Linked DNA regions of Rattus norvegicus. The protein of the gene in region 1 binds, or shares a complex with, the protein of each later gene. Links are inferred from orthologs where the notes say so. Each region holds a gene or a part of one and is shown on either strand. Other genes may lie near its edges.

Region 1 (4,336 bases):
GGGGAAGGCCAGATATGTTGTTGAATTTGTTGATTTTTTTGATAAGGAGATCTTATCTTGTTGCCCAAGCAAGTTTGAGACTTCTGGGCTCATTGGTACGTGAGATATCTAGGCAGAAGTGCTCCTTTTGTTTGCATTTGATACAGTACCTGTGGCTGGCCTAGAAAACGTTGTAGAAACTGATTTTACTTATGATAAAACAAATTAAATGTGCTCAGGGAAATTGAGTTTGTAGTGTTAATTTCATTTCCTTCCCTTCTTTTTAAAAACATTTATTTTTACTCACTTTATATCCCGTTCATTGCCCCCTTCCCCATCACCCCTTTCATCATCCTTCTCTCCTCCCCCTCCTTCCTTTTATTATGAGTTGCAAGAGGCAGGTTTGGTGGCTGCTCTGGTCTGGGATTGGTCGCCACCTCCTGCTCTTCCTTTCCATCATGAAGATCATTGCCTCAGGCCAGCCAGGTCCTACTTCTCCAGCTGGTTACTGCAAACAGTAATTGCCTGTTGTGCACCTGGAATCCAAGCCCTAGTCAGGGAGGAGGACCAGGAGGATAGCCGCAGAGGTCAAACCTGAATAGCCTCGAGATCTGTAGGAGGAGAGAACTGACTCCCCACAAGCTGCTCTGATCTCTACTTGTCTTTACATACACACACAATAACCAAACATTAAAAATAAAAACAAACAGAAGTGGGCTGGGACTATAGCTTTTTTGGTAGTGTACTTATCTGGGATCCAGGATACCCTGGGTTCCATCTCCAACACCACATAAATCTGCTGTGGTGGCACGAACCTGTGGCCACATTATCTGGAAATGAAGGGAGCCAATTCAGGAGTTCAAGGTCATCCCCATTATATCCTCATTTGAGGTTCGGTTAAAACACAAAAACGTTTTTTCTTTTAAAGATAGCTGGGCAGTATAGCTGGCCCATTTTCTATGAACGTGCCTTATTTATTTATTTATTTATTTATTTATTTATTTATTTATTTATTTTTATGCTCAAGTAACACATTAGTAGCCATCTATGGACAGAGGCCAAATCTAGCTAAGTCTTTTTATACCTTAGTTGCTGGCCTGGTAGAAATTGTTAAGAATAAGGGTAATAGAGGCTGGAGATAGCTCAGCAGTTAAGAGCATTTGCTGTTTTTGCAAAGAAAACACATTGAGTTCCCAGCACCCATATGGTGGCTCACAGCTACCTATAACTTCAGTTTGGGACGTCTGATGCCCTTTTCTGACATGTGCAGGCATGCGTGTGAGGTATAAACACATGCACACATGCATGCATGTTTATGCACAAACAAAACATACATTATTGTGTAGATAAAAATCTAATTTTAAAACCAAAGATAAGGATTTATTTGTTTTGGTTTCTTCTTGTCAATAGGAGAAGTTAAGGCTTCAAGGCCAAATCACAGAGGGAAGCAACATGATTAAAACAATTGCTTTTGGCCGCTACGAGCTGGATACTTGGTACCATTCTCCCTATCCTGAAGAATATGCACGACTGGGACGTCTCTACATGTGTGAATTCTGCTTAAAATACATGAAGAGCCAAACGATTCTCCGCCGACACATGGTGTGTTTTCTTGTTCACATCACGAGGGGATGTTACATGGTTTCCCAGTTATGTTCCAGAGATAGCATAAGTGTCCAAAAAGTGACATTTCCCAAGTGTCCACAGCAATAGGGTGGAGACTTAAGGAACTGAAAGTCACATTTCTGGGTAACCCTTTGCCCGGACCAGTGCTGCATAGCATCTTAACTACACCCTGTCCATAAACGTCTTTTCTTCTTGTTTTTTGTCTTTTGTTGTTTCTTCAGCACATTAATTACCTCTCCCTACAGTTTGTGTTTGTACCAAACTTAATGAAACGCATATATTCTGTTAGATAGAACAGGACACTGTGGCTCATATGTTAGATGGCAACTGTCTGTCTTGGGTGAATACATTTTATAAGAGATTTCCATCTTTAACAGATGATGAAAAGAACGGTTTGCATTTCTTAAAGTTCTCTGTATTAACTAGGAAAGGATGTGCATAGTTGGCTCTGGTGACTTCTGTGAGTATAGAGGTCAGGTTTGGGGAAATGCAGGCTTCTCCTCTCCATTGCTTCAGGAATAATCATGAAATGGCTTCTTTAGCTTGGCAAATGTTTCTAGACACATAACTGTTGCATTAATTTGGTTATCCTGGAAAGAACCAGCAGGAATAATGGGAGGAAATAGGAATATAGATGGAGCTTTGAAACAATTCCGGTTAATACATGCTTTAGTCCCCTGTGGTAAGTAGGACATGATATCCATGCCTTGCATACCATGTCCCTGCCACCCGGTCCCCACCATCAGCTAAGCAGGGAACACAGCCTCGCCCTTAATGGATATTGTACCACTGAGCTATATTCCTAAACCTGAAATACAGTTCTTAGAGGATGTGATGTGATTTTTGCTTTAAATAGGGTCTCTAGCTTAGGCTGGCCTCACTTGTAGTTTTCCTATCTCTTTTGCTTGAGTGCTCACATGACCAGTGCGGACCAACCACAGGTCCAGTGACACTTTATGCTTGAGTTGTCAGAGAGATGGTAGTGAATTGTTTAATAAGAAATTTTCTATATGTATAAACTTTGTGTGTGGAATGCTCATGCATGTGTGCACATGTACATACACACCATAGCACACGTGTGAAAATGAGAGAACATTGTGGGAGTCAGTCGGTTCTCTTCCACTATGGAGATTCCCAGAATTGAATCTGAGTCATGAGGCTTGGCAGCAAACGCATGTACCTGCTTTGGCTTCTCGACTGCAGGGCCCGGGCTTACTTCAGTAGTAGAGAACTTGCATTGCTGCCAAGATGGCGGGTGCTAGCTCCAGGGCCATGAATTGAACATTTTGAGAATAAGGAAAAGAGTTTGGAACCAAGTACCTTTCAGCTTCCTGCTGCTCAGCCAGGCCTCCTACCTTTTCAAATAAGCCTGGAAGGACTTCTGTTTATCTGACATATGGCAGGGGGTGGGCAGATAGCGAGCGGCTCACGATCCTCCTTGTGCAGACACATGATGAGGTAGGGTGGTAATGGGAAGAAGCGACTGGCAAAGGTGAGCAGAGCATACTTAGCAACACTAAGCTGCTTAAGAACTTCCTGTTGGCTTGCAGTATTTTATTGTAAGCAAGGATATTCTTATTCATCTAGCTTTTACGTAGTAGGTGATTTAATATCTTGGGCTGAGATAATGCCAAAAATAATCCAGAAAACTTGAGCCAAACAGCCATATGCGTCCTCAGATAGATCGCAACAGCTTAAGAAAGCTATAACTTTTCTGAAAACAATCGGGCTCACTGTCCCCAAGTGCATTCAGTCATCTGTTAACTCAGCTAACCACATTTATCCTGTGGTTCCTTTTCCCAGGAAAGGAACAGGGTGGTAGGGAAATCTTGACTGCTTCATGTGAACTCCATTCTCTTGTAGGCCAAGTGTGTGTGGAAACACCCCCCTGGTGATGAGATTTATCGCAAAGGCTCCATCTCTGTGTTTGAAGTAGATGGCAAGAAAAACAAGGTAAAAGGTGGTGATGTGAGAAAAGGAGACACAGTGGTGGGGTTCCAGAGGAAGATTTTGTCTTCGAGAGAGATAGGAATTAGTTCCATTTGTGGATAGTATTGATATGATCATTCTTTCTAGACTTCGATTTGGTTGAGAAGTCACTGGACTCCACACAAACACTCTTTCTGCTTCCAGATCTACTGCCAAAACCTCTGCCTTTTGGCGAAGCTTTTTCTGGACCATAAGACCTTATACTACGATGTAGAGCCCTTCCTGTTCTACGTTATGACAGAAGCAGACAATACTGGCTGCCACCTGATTGGATATTTTTCTAAGGTTAGCAGGATCTGGTGATTTAGAAGCTTAACCACAATGGGAGGCATCATGGGTATTGGCATTAGAGGCTCAGATCTCTGAGGAAGTGGGTGACAGTGATAGTCTTCCCATAAGCAAAATAAGAAAGGCAAACGTGTATCGTAGAAAGCTTCCTGACAGGATTCTCTTCAGGATCTTCCTCTGTTACCTGGGCTGACTGGGAGTCATGCCTTAGACTGGCATCAAATCCAGGACAGGCTTCCTGCCTTAACCTCCAAAGTGCTGGGATCACAGACATGAGCTGGGACACTTAGCTGATACTGTCACTAGAAGGTTCTGGTTTCTGTGCTTGTGGGTTAAAGCTATTAATTACTGGTCTGGACCCTTTCTGTGAATTTAAAACACATGTTGTAGTCAAGCCAATACTTCTGGCTTTGCCTTCCTCCATGTTAGGTTAAACCTGGTTCTCTGGCTAGGT
Region 2 (4,336 bases), about 44 Mb from region 1:
GGTGCCTACGGGCAGCTGGCTGTGCCGGACCTGTGCCCTGGGAGTCCAGCCTAAGTGCCTGCTCTGCCCCAAGCGAGGAGGAGCCTTGAAGCCCACCAGAAGTGGGACCAAGTGGGTACACGTCAGCTGTGCCCTGTGGATTCCTGAGGTGTGTAGATTTCAGAGGGAGGGGCTGTGTGGAGAGCTCGGGTTGGACCTAGCAGAATTTAGGTGACAGAACATAGGAAAAAAGGGTCTGTTAGGTTCCCATGAAGACTCAGACAGTGTCTCAGTTAGGGTTTTAATGCTGGGAACAGACACCATGACCAAGGCAACTCTTAATACGGACAACGTTTAATTGGGGCTGGCTTACAGGTTCAGAAGTTCAGTCCATTATCATCAAGGTGGGAGCATGGCAGCATCCAGGCAGGCATGGTGCAGGAGGAGCTGAGAGTTCTACATCTTCATCTGAAGGCTGACAAGAGAATCCTGGCTTCCAGGCAGCTAGGGTGAGGGTCTTATAGCCCAGACCCACAGTGACACACCTACTCCAACAAGGCCATACCTAATAGTGCCACTCCCTGGGCCAAGCATATTCAAACCCTCACAGACAGGTCTAGGAATAACTTGGAACATTGTCTGCGAACCTGGTCATAGGTCTGGTCTTCAACTCTGAGGCACTGGGACATTCAGGAGGGACAATTTGAGGTCCAGACCTTAGTCAAGCAAAGGGGTTGGGGTGGGGGCTGAGTCTCAGATTATGGAATCTATCAAAACAAAGTTCTGGTTAAAATCAGAATGAAGCCAACCTTGGTAACATACGCCTGCAGATCCAGCACTTGGGAGATGGGAGTAGAAGATCAGGAGTTCAAGGCCATCATCCACTTGAATTTGATGCTAGCCTGGGCTACATGATAACCCTGTCACAAAACCAAGCGAAAGGGCAGCTGATCCCCTAGTGCAGTAGGAAGTTGGATAATGGGCCTGCTCCTGTGGCTGCAGAGGTAGCCTGTGACTTGGAGGGGCCGTGGACAGCAGGCTGGGTCCATGGTAGCCATCTTCACTAAGGCTTTGTGGTCAGTTCTTCTATATTGAGATGCCTGTCCAGGGCTGTCCATGCCTAGAAGCAGGCTAGGAGACCCTGTCAGCACGTGACTCTTTCCTTCCTGGTTCCTTATCCAGAGGTTCCTACTGGGGTCCACTTGCCTTTTTTTTTTTTTTTTTGGTTCTTTTTTTTTTCCGGAGCTGGGGACCGAACCCAAGGCCTTGCGCTTCCTAGGCAAGCGCTCTACCACTGAGCTAAATCCCCATCCCCCCACCTTGCCATTTCTGGGGTAGGGGTTATTTGTGTCAGATTTTCATCTTGAAGGCCAGGACTGCTTTTCGGTGCCCTTTCTCCTGGTTATGGCAGAGAGACTGACCTCTTGAGGACCCCATGCTTGAGGGCCAGCCAGGTGGCTCAGCAGGAAAGATCTTTGCTGCCAACCCTGACAAACTGAGCTCCGTCCCCAGGACCTACGCAGTGGCAGGGAAACTTACTCCTGCAAGTTGTCCTCTACCTCCACACCTATGCCGTGGCATACATGAACGTACACATGTACACATGCACCTGCATGTCTCAAAGTCTACAGTCCCGGGTACATGCTTCTCCTAGCCAGCCACATTCGCATACATGCACACTCTGGGCCTGGTTCCAAGTGAACAGGTACGTGATTGGGCCAGGATTGGGAACTCAGACCTTCAGCTCTGTAAGTGTGAAGACAGAGAGGACTTAGGACTTGTGAGTTGAATCCACAACTCCGTCTGCTCACTATCTGGCTATGAGTGACTGGATCCCACCTGGGGACTGATGCAGCTCTCTGTATTCTGCCCAGGTCAGCATTGGCTGTCCAGAGAAGATGGAGCCCATTACCAAGATCTCACATATTCCCGCCAGCCGCTGGGCCCTGTCCTGCAGCCTCTGCAAGGAGTGCACGGGAACCTGCATCCAGGTATGTGGCCTGCTTCCTTCTGTTACCCGGAACTGCCGTGTTACCAGACAGAAGCACCGAGGTACCTGAAATACCAGTTCTTACCACCACCTAGCCCCTGTGGCTACACCACTGATGGACCCTAGAGGCTTAGGACAACAAGGTCCACCTGTGTACTTCACCCACATTCAATTGTCCCCAGGCTTCCAAGGAATGGGGACAGACCCCACCCGTGGAATACTAAGAACTTGGCTTTCCCCACCAGAGCAAGTGTCCCTGGGCTCGATGATTCATTGGCTTTTTAGACTGGAACCCTGACATGTGAGAGGAATAGAAATCTGAATTCCTCTCCAGCTCAGCAGATGTGCCTTCCTGACCTAATACAGGGGCTTACTGGTCTACCTGTGATGGCGGCTCCCATCTTGGTGATCATCAGGATCACCTGAGGCATTGAAACCACAAGAAGCTGTAAGCTCTAGTGGCTCTGATTCAGACATGAAGGGGGGGTGAACTTCCTTTCTTTCACAAAGCAGGGTTTGCCAGTATGGCTTCTGGTCTGTGCTGTGGGGTAGAAGCTCTCCTTGGTCCCTCTCATCTCCCCAAGAACACAGTCATCCTTGCAAATGTGCCTCCACCCCATTTATTAGACCTCCAGAAGGGTTCTGGACAAGGTGGCGATGGTACCCGATGTTGGGTACACTGTTGATGAACAGGTTCCAGTGGTCCAGTCCCCATCGAGGGCTGGGAGGAATGGTCAGAGCCTTTACCTGCTTCGATAAGAGAAGGTGGAGATCCAGGTGCTCTCAGAGAGTAGCACCAGGACAGACTCCTGGCTTGGATGACAGTTGCAATAGAGGAGACTGTGACCCTCTTCAGGCGTTTACCCCTGTCCTCTAATCCCAAAGTCACTTGCCCACAGGACAGTGCTTCTTGTCCCCACAAAGGGGACATTACCTTCTGATTCTTGGCTCCTTCAGTATGTTTGGAATTCGCTGTCACCTCTCCAGGTGCCCCAGGGCTCCTGTTTCTCCTTTAATGTTGGAGCCTGTGCCATTTTACATAGTGTCTCCCCAGCACTGTGTGTGTTCCTCGGTGCTTAGACCCCCCCCCCCCCGCCCGCCCGCGCCCAGCGCTCCTTTAATGCCTGACGCGCCCTTCCCTTCTCTCCAGTGTTCCACGCCTTCCTGCCTCACAGCATTCCACGTTACCTGCGCCTTCGACCGAGGCCTGGAAATGCGGACTATATTAGCCGACAATGACGAGGTCAAGTTCAAGTCACTTTGCCAGGAGCACAGTGATGGGGGCCCTCGAAGTGAGCCTAGTTCTGAGCCTGTGGAGCCCAGCCAGGCCGTTGAGGATCTGGAAAAGGTGACCCTACGCAAGCAGCGGCTGCAGCAGCTGGAAGAAAACTTCTATGAGCTGGTGGAGCCAGCTGAGGTGGCTGAACGGCTAGACCTGGCTGAGGCACTGGTGGACTTCATCTACCAGTACTGGAAGCTGAAGAGGAGAGCTAATGCCAACCAGCCACTGCTGACGCCCAAGACTGACGAGGTGGACAACCTGGCCCAGCAGGAGCAGGATGTCCTTTATCGACGCCTGAAGCTTTTCACCCACCTGCGGCAGGACCTGGAGAGGGTAAGTAGCCCTGGTGGGGTGGGTGGAAGGGACAGCCAAGAGGAGGGGGAGGGTAAAGGCTAACAGGATTAGAAGGCACAATGGGAGGAGAGATACTCATACTCAGTCTTTGAGTCTCTCTTGTTCCAGCCATTTCAGAGGTCTTGGTGAAGGTGACCTGTGGAGACAGGAGTCAAGGCTACTGGAGCCCACTTGCCTGCAGTTTCCCTTCTGACCTTTATAGATGGTGACTGAGACTAAAGGAGCCAATGTTACCCAAAATACCTCTGTCCTGACATATTAAGAATAGGGGTTGGGGGGGTTGGGGATTTAGCTCAGTGGTAGAGCGCTTGCTAGGCGCAAGGCCCTGGGTTCGGTCCCCAGCTCCAGAAAAAAAAAAAAAAAAGAAGTAGGGATTGGGATTGTGGGGTTATCTAGTTACCAGGCATGCTTGTGCTGGCCAGAACTGGGTAGGCAGGGGTGAGTGGTGCAGGATGTGATTCCCATAGGCTGCCAGGCAGGCAGAGAACAGGGATCGGGTCAGATGACACACACCAGACAGACATTGCCCCACAGAGGCGTTCCCAGGCCTGGCCTGGGTGACCAAGCCACATACACTTTCATCTTTGTTTTAGGAATCGGGGACAGAACTGTGGCTTGTTCTCTGGTGGTCTGTGTGGGGCTGAGGAAGGTGAACGTGTCTAGATCATAGACCAGTCCTCTGAACCCAGGAGCCGCTCCGTCATCTCCTTTCTGAGCGTTGAATTCTAGAG
Region 3 (5,130 bases), on another chromosome or scaffold:
GATGTGGAACAGTCAGAGAGTAGACCAGGAGGGGAATAAAATCTGGAGTGTAAAAAATAAATAAATAAAAAAGATATGAAACGGGGTTGGGGATTTAGCTCAGTGGTAGAGCGCTTGCCTAGCAAGCGCAAGGCCCTGGGTTCGGTCCCCAGCTCCGAAAAAAAGAAAAGAAAAAAAAAAGATATGAAACTAATTAAACTTCTTTCTACCAGCATTCTGAAGTGCAACCTTCTTTTTAGCATGGCAACTCTTCTTACAACATTCACAGAGACAGTCCAAGTTACCTACCTACATTTTGGCATAGGTTTTATACAGAAACATAGCTTATATTGGAATGCAATATGGAACACTGAAGAAATGACAAGGCCTTTTTAGGAACCACTGAATACTTTTCTAAGTACTCACACATACAGTTTAGGAAAGGCTTAATACCTTCGAGTAGACTATGCTTCTCTTTAAAATAAAGCACAAGCTCCTTAATGAGGTTCCATAAAGTCTATCAATCTTCTGCCTACCTCATCTCTCTTTTCCCAATGTATCCAAACCTCTGTGAATCCTTTATTCCTGCTCCACCTCAGTACTGTCACTACCTGTTATTTCCTCCACCTGACAATCTTTCGCTCTTCATTTTACCTTGCTTATTATGATTTATTCTTGAGGTTCCAAGGGCACTCCATTGGTCAGTCACAGAGGAATTAATTTTCTCTCTCTCTCTCTCTCTCTCTCTCTCTCTCTCTGTGTGTGTGTGTGTGTGTGTCTGTGTCTCTGTCTCTCTCTCTGTGTGTGTGTGTGTGTGTCCTTGGGCAAGTTGACTCTGCTTCACCATTTCAAGATTCACAACTCTAAGAGATATCCTCTGCTCAGAGAGCTATCACGGTTGCTGTTATATTTACTATCCTGTAAGGTAACTCCCATCATCTTTCCTAGCACAACTAACAATAAGATATTTATCTGTTAAAAAAAATTTGAAATTTCTGCTTGGATTCTACCTTAATACTTAATATTTTTATGTTACTCCCAACATAGTGTATTTTTTGTAAGAGGAGATGAAATGAATGTTTATAGAACAACTATTACTTCAACTAAATCCTCACTACCATCCTTAGAAATATGACTTGGCACATGAAGAAACTCAGGCATAGAGAAGTAAAGTAGCCAACATCAAGTGGAAGAGCCAGAATTTGAGTCCAAGTTTGCCTGATTCCATTGCCTGTGGTGGATATATGACCTCAAAGGATTCCTAACTCATGAACCTTGTCATCTAAGAGTCAAAGGCCTTAGAGATGGGTATGTTCAGTTGCATCCAGTTAAGTGGCTCCTAGATGTCTCTCTTTAGCTCCTCAACAAGTCCTCTGTTCCCATCAGCAGAGCATTCCTCCTCCTGGGAGAAGATTCCTTACATTCTTTCCACTGGACATTAAACTCTTAAGGGGATGAGTATCTTTTACCTTTTACACCCCAGTAAATAGAAAGCACTCAGTATGTTTGCTGAATGAATTAAATGGTGGCTTTATTAATGGCCACAAAACTTAAGTGTTTCGTGGAATTAAAACTTGACACAGGAAAGAAAACATGACAAGAACGGTGAAAGGGAAAGGTTATCTTAAATACTTTTACAATTGGTCATGAGTTCTCTACCTAACATCAGAGATTCTACTAGATTTACAAACATATGCTTGGTAGCTACACAGGGACTTTACGTCTGGGGCCCTGCCTTACACTACCAGTGGTTTCATCTGAGACACTCTTCACAACAGGACGGCCTTGACAAACAGCACTCTCACTGTTTATGCTCAAATGATTTGTAAAAAGAAACAGAAAGAGTGAATGAAAACAAACTGCTGATAACTCATGACCTTGGATAAAGGGAATACAGTGAGGTTTTATACCAATCTTGCAATATTTTTGAAAATTATAATATTTTATCAAAATTAAATTTTCAAAATCTAGAAAAGAATAATACCAGCAAGTTTCCCAGAAGATTTCAACAGAGGGTCCAGTGTACAGACCAAGCTGATATCACATTCTTTTGTTAGCTAGTTCAAAAACAACATTCCAGCCAAGCATAGCTCATGCCTTATAATTCTAGAGCTCAAGAGGCTGAGGCAGGAGGATAGTGAGTTGGAAAGCTAGTCTGGCCTACAAAATAAAACCTTGTTCCAAGGGCTGGGGAGATGGCTCAGTGGTTAAGGACACTGACTGATCTTCCAGAGGTCCTGAGTTCAATTCCCAGCAACCACATGGTGGCTCACAACCATCTGTAATGGGATCTGATGCCCTCTTCTGGTGTGTCTGAAGACAGCTATAGTGTACTCATACATAAAATAAATAAATCTTAAAAAAAAAACCTGTCTTAAAACAACACAACAAAAAACCCCACACTGGCTTAGGTATCTTTGCCTATCAACAGGTATCAGAGGAAAATGTTCTCTTTGGATAGTGGGGCATAGCCACAGCTTCTGAGTTAGAAGAGAAAAATTATTTATAGCTTGAAGGGTACCCATGATATCACAGATGTTTCCTATTGGCCAAAGTCCCAATATAACTTCTTTTTTACCTTAGAAATATTTTTTATCATACTGTGTTTTTAAAGAGTTATTTATTTTACATATATGAGTGCTCTGTCTTCATGCGCACAAGAAGAAGGAATCAGATCTCATTACAGATAGTTGAGTGCCACCATGTGAGTGCTGGGAATTAAACTCAGGACCTCCAGAAGAGCAGCCAATGCTTTTAACCACTGAGCCATCTCTCCGGCCCCTATAACTTCTTCTTGCCAGATTCATTTTCTTCAGGGCAAATCAAGACTCCTAGGTACCCACAAGAACACGCACATCCTCATGTTCAGAAAAACAGCACTTTGAGTTCTTACCTTCCCTTCCCAAGTCTGGCAGATTGGATTAGGCAAGTTTTTCCCAAAGACTCAGCACAGAGGCACTTTTGATTATAGGAGCCTTGCTTTTGCTGTCTATGGGAAGACCTACAGAGAGGACACAAAACAGATCATGGGAGAGTCACAAAGACAAAAACTTAAAGCAGTAAACTGGGTCTGCAATGATCACCTGCTAGCACCCTCTTATTCATTCATTACTTCTAACCATTCATTCTAGATTCTCCCCACCCCACAAACCTGTATAAAGATGAAAATGCTTTAATTTTCTTAGCCACAGTAACTAGAATCCAAACTTGTTAATGAGTCAAATGTCCCCACTTCATAAAGGTATCTGGGTAAGGGGTAGCTCAGTGGTAGAATGCTTGCTTAGCATGTGCAAAGCTGTGGGTTCAATTTTCAACACCAAAAATTATGGCTAAGATAGAGCCAGATGGGTATCACCCAACAGCCACCTCTCATCTAGAAAAATGAGGCAAGTAAAGATCACAGTAAATTATACCCTAATGAGAGATTATCTTAATATAAATCAGCATATCAGTTCTATTTTCTTCAGCTCTTGTTTTTTTGTAAGCTCCATGAAGAGGTATGTACATTATATCCCATGATAATATTCAATCTCATTTTTAGCCTCTCTCTGTATCCTTGATCAAAGCTTCTAAGATCTCTCTAATGTCACATCTCCATAAAACCTGGTATCTCCTGATTCCCTTACCACTCTCAAAATAAGTGACTAGTTTCAGTTAGACCTCAAAGTTTAAAAAAAAAAAACAGGGATGGCTTTGTATAGCTTAGAGGACAAACATTTGTTATGGTTTGTAGAACACGAGAAAGGGGTAAAACAAGCAGTATCAAAGGAAATGGCCAAACAAAACCTATGTCTTCAACAACCTTGTACTTTAGCTTTTACTATGTCTTAGGTATGATAACTGCCCCTGAATCATTAGCTGTGATGATACTGAGAATCTCCTCTACAGGCAAGAAAGTGGTTCACAAGTGTTCCAAAATCTTGTGTGTCCTGAAAACAGTCTCCAAGTCATTCCTAGGTACTTTATTTTTAACTGCCGATGACCAAGATTCATATCTCAGTGCCATGGCTTGACTCAGAAAAGAAGAGTGTGGATCCTGAAGTTAGAACACCATAACCTGTATTATTCCAGAAGTTGCTGACAAAAAAAAAACCTTTGAGGAACAGTATTGTATTTTAAAATATTTTAAAGCAACAGTATTGGAATAAGAGCTCTTCTCTAGTGAACAGAGGTGTAAAAAACACATGTGACAGGAAAGATGACAATAACTAATGTTGAGAGCTTAATGTGAACTGGGGTACTCTTCAATTTAATATGAACAGCATCCTCCCTCTCCAATTTCTGTAATCCTTGATGTGAGAGTTTATCCTCTGATAATTTAAGTATTTGAAGTCAGAGCTCGTCTAAAATAAAAAAGAAAATGTTAGTTATAGAAGTAGAATACTCTTAAAGTTAAACAAAAAAGAAAAAATCTATTTTTACTTATCCAGAATCATCACATAATGTGTAAGAACGTCACTATTTAAATGTACAAAGGCTAGGCTCTACATTCCTACTATTACAGATATTATAGAAATATTAAACTAAATAAAAAACAAAGTGCACTCTGCTCTTCTCCCCGCCCTATTTTCCACCCCCCAGGGCTGACTAGAAGTGGCTGCAGGCAAGGTATTTAAGAGAAGCACTCTGGGAAAGAGGATTGTGGCTAGGGTTAACTAGGCAACGATGTTGTGCAACCAGTTTCTACCTATTTTTTTTTTCATTACTTTTCGGAGTTTTGAGAGTAGCAGTTATCTTTATCTGACTGAATGCAGGGAATGAGGTCACCTTTCCCTTTAGGACACTGAAATCTGTCACTATGGTTTTGATTTCTTATACAATCAAACTGTGGCGGTGAAGGGTGTGGATCTCATCCTTAGCTTCACAGTTAAGTGCCTCTCACAAGCAAGGGTCGACCCTTGTGCACATCTCCAAAGATGGATTTCCTTTGACTCAGAACGCCAGTGGGGTGGCCAAACAAGTTTCTTGTGAAATCCCTACTAGGTACGTACGTCCTAGGGCTGCACAGAGAGATAAACTCTTAAGCATATCTTCACATACCACCATTAAGGACACTCACTGGAGATCCCACCCAATGAACGCTGGTTACCCGGTGTAATTTAAAGCCAGATTCCACCAAAACCAAAACTGCTCCAAAAAGCAGGAGAAAAG
Region 4 (4,876 bases), on another chromosome or scaffold:
GCTCAGAGTTGAAGACTTCCAAACACATTACAACAAGCCTCCAACAGTAACCTCCCTCACCACACCCAGGTAAAGGTACTGACAGTCAGGGAAGACAGCAGGAAGCTGCAGCCCTCGGGGTTCCTGCTGAATAGCTAGGGCACAGGTGCATTCCACCCACAAGTCACCTTTTTAGACCAAGCCAAAAGTTACCTACAAACAGCAACATAGGTCTCCAGAGCTGAGAGCTTGGCCTCTTGCCCACAAGTCAGACTGTTTTACTGACAGACTTCACAACAGAGACTATGGCCTGTGGCCACCTACTCTTAGCAATCCCTTAGGTCTTTCTTTCTCACTACTGCCCAGCAGAGTGCTCCTGGGAACTTTGTGCTGGGGGCCAGAAGCATCCATAACTCAACAGCATAAAGTAGTCCATTCTTTCCACAAACATCCCATACAGGACTTGAAGGGAACGCTGTGCTGGTCTGTGGGAGATCTTTGCCCCAAGAGCCCAATGGAGCTTTTAGGACGCCTCAGCAGTGACCACCCTGGAAGCTGCCGTGGCAGCACCAGCCTTTCCCTTTCACTCAGGCCAGGACCTGGCTGTGGGCTGGGCCACATACTCTCCAAGTACGCCTAGCTGAGGGCAAGGTATCAAGTGGCACTTCTGCTCTCCTCCTGATACACTTGAAAGTGCTCAGCTCTTGCCCCCCAAAAAAAGGATGGTTTCCCTCAGACCACAGCCTGCAGAGCCCCCCACCCCACCCCTTATCACTGGTTCACATGCCTGAAAACTTCAGAGATGTGTTCATTTCCAGTATGAACAAAACCAGGGAGCTAACAGCCTACACTCCCACTCCTTGTAGTGGACTCCTCACTTTTAGTTTTCTCCGATGCAGATCTTATGTGCAGACGTGCCCACTCTGGACCACTAGTCAAGCAGAATGAACACATGGAGTAACAAGGGCCAGGACCACTCATGCCTCCCACTGAACAAGCCCACTCAACTGACAAGTAGATAAAGACTGACTCCCAAAATATACCAAGTTGAAATGTCAGAATAGCCCACAAGCAGGGCTCTCCAGGAACCCCGAATTCTCAGCTCATACTTATCTTACTAGTCTCTGAGAAAAGCCCTCCAAGAGCAGACTTCATGTTTTAAATCCCAAAAGGAAATCTCTGCAAATCTTATACGCATTTTTAAAGACAGACCTTGCAGATTGCAGAAACCCACATTCTGTAGATACTATCGCTCTATGAACAAGAACAGCAGACCCCAATGCACCTGCATCTGAGGAGCTTCCAGGTGCCTGCTCAGCAAAGGATTCTAAGGGAGCTGTCATCAAAGCAGCCCTAGCCAGCCCTAGGCCTCTAGCAACATCCCTGAGATGAGATAGGTGCAAATCCAGGTGTCAGCACCATATTCTGCACAGAAAGAACCACAGTTCACCTCGGATGCTTCACAATTTACTACTGAGGCAGGCAGAAGCAACAGCTCCCAGATTAAAAACAAACATGTAATTTTCTCCTCTACAGTAAAGTACTGTAACCAGCCTGTCAAACCCCACATTCTCCTAGTGAGCACTGAAGGTCTTTAAACCACTTTTCTACAAGAACTGAACCTAATACTTAATGGCCACAGCTACTCTGTAATTTGAAAATGTAATTGTGACCGGGGGAAAGAGGGCATTTAGAGGCACTGCCCAGCAGTGACCAACAATCTCATCTGCTTCCTCATTTTCATACACCCAGCACTTTGACCCTCTGGCTCTATGCAGGAATGAGCATTTCCATGAAAGAATCAGCAAAGGCAATAAGCATGGTTCTCCAGAAATAACTGTGCTAAACGCATCCTAAAAAGCTTTGTTAGCAGAAAGAGGGAAAGACTCTGCTCAAAATCAGCTCAGTTCATTTCCTGCCTGGTTTGTAGACAAGCCATTTAAACTCTTCCAGCTTCTACCCCTCACTGTGAAAGCACACAGGAAAGACACTTACTCTAAAGTGACAATCTGAGGAGTAAACACAGACTCAGAACAGTGCTAGATCCAACAAGTGATAAAACAGTAACTAAATAATATCAAAATTCTGTAACTATGTGTTACCAGATGACAGATACTCTAAAACAGTCGCGGCTGGGTGAAGTGAATGTCCTCCATTAAGGGGGCGGTTTCCTAGGTGTGTGTAAGTGTGTCACAACTGCAGTGCACGATGAGGAGCAGTGTTTTCTGCAAATTAAGCATAGGAAAGTTGCTTCTCTCCTAAAGGCCCAAGAAAGCCGCGCACGCGCGTTCGTTTCTCGGCGTTTCCTGCACACATCCACGGAGTTTGGCGGAGCTGCGGGCTTACTCCGGAGATACCAGGCCCCGCTCGACTTAGGAAATCTTCCGAGCCCGTCCCTCTTCAAGGGAGTTTCCTGTCTTGGCAAAATAGATCGGACCTATCTGTTACATAATGCGACCGGCTCCGCACCGCCAAGGCTACAGGCGAGGACGTGGGCAGACGCCACGAGACCCCAGGCCTTCCGCCTCCTCCGCTGTCCGACGCCCGTCCCCGCAGTTGCCCCAGCTGCACAGACAGCCGGGCCGCCCAGAGCCCGCCCGGCCCGGCGGCTTCCCCGCCTCCTGAAACCTGCCGCCCGCTCCATTCTCTTGGCCGCCCCTCCCGCGCCGCGGCGGCCTCCTTCTACTCCTCTGTCTCCCCGACCCCGCCGCGGCCTCCGTGTCCCTCTCCGCCCCCACCCGGCTGCGGCCTCCGCCTCCGCGATTTCGCCGCGGCCTCGCCTCCCAGACCCGGCCTCTCGGGCAAGCCGCCGGCACCCATCTCGGCGTCCCCGGCCGCGCCGGCTCACGGCGGCACTCGCCCGCTCGGCCTTCTCAGTTCCTCCGGCTCCCGCGCCCACCAGGCCTCACGGCCTCCGGGCCTCGCCGCCCCGACTCTCCGGCCTCCCCGCCCGCGGACAATGCGGAGCCGCCGCTGCCGCCTCTAAACATGGCGCCTGCACCTCCGCCCCGGCCGGCGAGGCGGGCGGCGAACGGCGACCGTCAGACACTCACCTTCGGGGCGCCGCGGCCGCGGGAGCCCGGCGGGCGGGCGGGCGCGGGGGCCGGCGCGGCCGAGGCGGCGCTAATGGCGCCGCGGCTCCTCCGCCAACGGCCGCGCAGCCGTGCCCCGCCGGGCTCCGGGGCGCGCTCGGCCAGCGGCTCCGGACCCGCAGGGCGCCACGGCTCGGGCGGGGTCGGCGGCGCCGGCACAGCCGGCTAAGGCCGGCTCGGGGCCCGGCCGGGCGGAGGACGCGAACGCGGAGCTGCTCGGACGCCTGCCGAGGCGCTGCTCGCTCCCCAGCGAAGCAAACAATGCGGCGAGCGCTCCGCCCGGCGCGCTGCGTGCGAGACGCGCCCCGCCCGCCGCCGCCATGACGCGCGCCGCACCAAGCCGGGATAAGGGGGCGGGGCGGGACGCGAAGGAGAGAGTGGGGTGACCAGGAAGGGTGGCTCTCAGGGAGTTAGGGTGGGGATCCGGAGCGGGGGATGGGAGGAGTGCTGCAAGAGTGGGGTGACTAGGAGGAGAGTTCTGGGGGAGACAGGATAGGGCTCCTGAGGAGTAAAGGACTGCTGTAAGAGTAGGGTAACCAGATGATGTTTACTGTGGGGTCAGTAGCAGTGAGTAGAGCCAGAATGTTGACCCTAAGGAGCCAGGCGGAGTTTCCTGAGTGCGTGATTTTTAAGGGACTGGTTCTTGAGAGAATCAAGAGGTGCATCCTAAGGGGGGTAAGAGGAGTTCATGAAGGATGAGTTAAGAGGGAATGGAAATAAGGGCTCTGATGAAGGGTCATCAAACAAGGGTAGATCCCTCTGAGGAATAAATGACAAGGATGGGAACCCTAAGGTGGCATAGAAAGGCACTAAAAATGGCACAAGATGAGGTCAGTGGTTGGGTAGGAGAGGGTATGGAAAGGAACTGAGGATGGCTAGCTAGTTACTGTGACAAGTACTGGAGCTCTCAGAAACTATGGGGCAGCCAGGGGGCATGCCCTCTTTTTTTGTTTGGTTGTTGGTTGGCTTTTGGTTTTGTTGTTTTGAGACTAAGTATTTCTGGCTGTCTGGAACTCACTATGTAGACAGAGACCTGCCTCCCTAAAAGCATGGGCTGCCACGCATGTGACTTAGGCCTTCCTCTTACAAGCACTGCCCTAGTAGAGGTGATTAAGCATTGATGTCTACCTAGGACCTGGTAACACTATAGAGCAGCAGTTCTCAGCCTTCCTACTACTGTTGACCAATGTTGTGGTGACCCCCCCCCCAGCCATAAAGTTATTTCATTTCTACTTCATAACTATCATTTGCTGCTGTTATGGATGTAAATATCTGATATGCAGGACCACTAAAGGGGTCGTGGCTCACAGGTTAAAAACTTCTGCTGCCCAGCCTTGAAGGTTTCAAGATCAGGGCCCTATGACTTGGACTGGTCCCACTCTCCAGCTCATTCCTTCTACTTTAGTCTTTAGTTTAAAAAGTTAGTGGCTTCTTGAGAATGTTAATTATGAGATTAATCTCTAAATATTTCGAAATGTGGGTGAAGACTAGGTGGCTCTTTGGTTGCCTTGGAAGTCTTGTGTCAGATGTCGTGTGCCTGTGACATTCAGGACAAAGCTTTCCCTCAGGAGCGGAGCTGCTTCCCCCACAGGACAGGCAGGGCAGGCTCCCTGCTCAGGCTATACCACCAGTTACTGGAACAAAGCAGTCTGCTCGGTTATGCATCCATGCCAGGTCGGGGCTGGAGCCCCATGAGCTTTCCGCTGGCCAACTCTCATATCCCATTGTAGCCAAACTATGGGCTGGAAAGTAGTTGTTTTGTTGTTGTTTTATTTTTCAATACAAGGCCTCTCAATGTATCTCTG

Evidence for each region.
Region 2: Kat7 (region 1) and Jade2 share a complex: the UniProt entries of both Homo sapiens proteins name them as parts of the HBO1 complex. The link is inferred for Rattus norvegicus from reciprocal best matches to the Homo sapiens genes KAT7 and JADE2.
Region 3: Kat7 (region 1) and Jade3 share a complex: the UniProt entries of both Homo sapiens proteins name them as parts of the HBO1 complex. The link is inferred for Rattus norvegicus from reciprocal best matches to the Homo sapiens genes KAT7 and JADE3.
Region 4: the proteins of Kat7 (region 1) and Brd1 are in contact, whole or in part, in a crystal structure (PDB 5GK9), measured with the Homo sapiens proteins. The link is inferred for Rattus norvegicus from reciprocal best matches to the Homo sapiens genes KAT7 and BRD1. Residues at the interface, in NP_008998.1 of Homo sapiens: Leu531, Phe534, Gly536, Lys537, Glu538, Ile539, Ser540, Ile541, Lys542, Pro552, Val553, Val556, Gln560, Leu565, Tyr567, Lys571, His572, Leu573, Val574, Leu575, Lys576; in XP_047297239.1 of Homo sapiens: Val40, Ile42, Glu43, Ile44, His49, Arg50, Ile51, Ser52, Ile53, Phe54, Asp55, Pro56, Leu57, Glu58, Ile59, Ile60, Leu61.

Annotation. Positions count from the first base shown.
Region 1 is NC_086028.1:80,724,484-80,728,819, reverse strand, and holds part of Kat7 (histone acetyltransferase KAT7), read left to right. Parts: intron 1-1,389; coding exon 1,390-1,581; intron 1,582-3,468; coding exon 3,469-3,558; intron 3,559-3,738; coding exon 3,739-3,879; intron 3,880-4,336. UniProt on the Homo sapiens protein: Catalytic subunit of histone acetyltransferase HBO1 complexes, which specifically mediate acetylation of histone H3 at 'Lys-14' (H3K14ac), thereby regulating various processes, such as gene transcription, protein ubiquitination, immune regulation, stem cell pluripotent and self-renewal maintenance and embryonic development.
Region 2 is NC_086028.1:36,588,912-36,593,247, reverse strand, and holds part of Jade2 (E3 ubiquitin-protein ligase Jade-2), read left to right. Parts: coding exon 1-148; intron 149-1,853; coding exon 1,854-1,970; intron 1,971-3,119; coding exon 3,120-3,584; intron 3,585-4,336. UniProt on the Homo sapiens protein: Scaffold subunit of some HBO1 complexes, which have a histone H4 acetyltransferase activity. Acts as an E3 ubiquitin-protein ligase mediating the ubiquitination and subsequent proteasomal degradation of target protein histone demethylase KDM1A.
Region 3 is NC_086039.1:4,395,646-4,400,775, forward strand, and holds the start of Jade3 (protein Jade-3), read right to left. Parts: upstream 2,983-5,130; 5' UTR 2,873-2,982; intron 1-2,872. UniProt on the Homo sapiens protein: Scaffold subunit of some HBO1 complexes, which have a histone H4 acetyltransferase activity.
Region 4 is NC_086025.1:121,698,365-121,703,240, forward strand, and holds the start of Brd1 (bromodomain-containing protein 1), read right to left. Parts: upstream 3,337-4,876; 5' UTR 3,033-3,336; intron 1-3,032. UniProt on the Homo sapiens protein: Scaffold subunit of various histone acetyltransferase (HAT) complexes, such as the MOZ/MORF and HBO1 complexes, that acts as a regulator of hematopoiesis.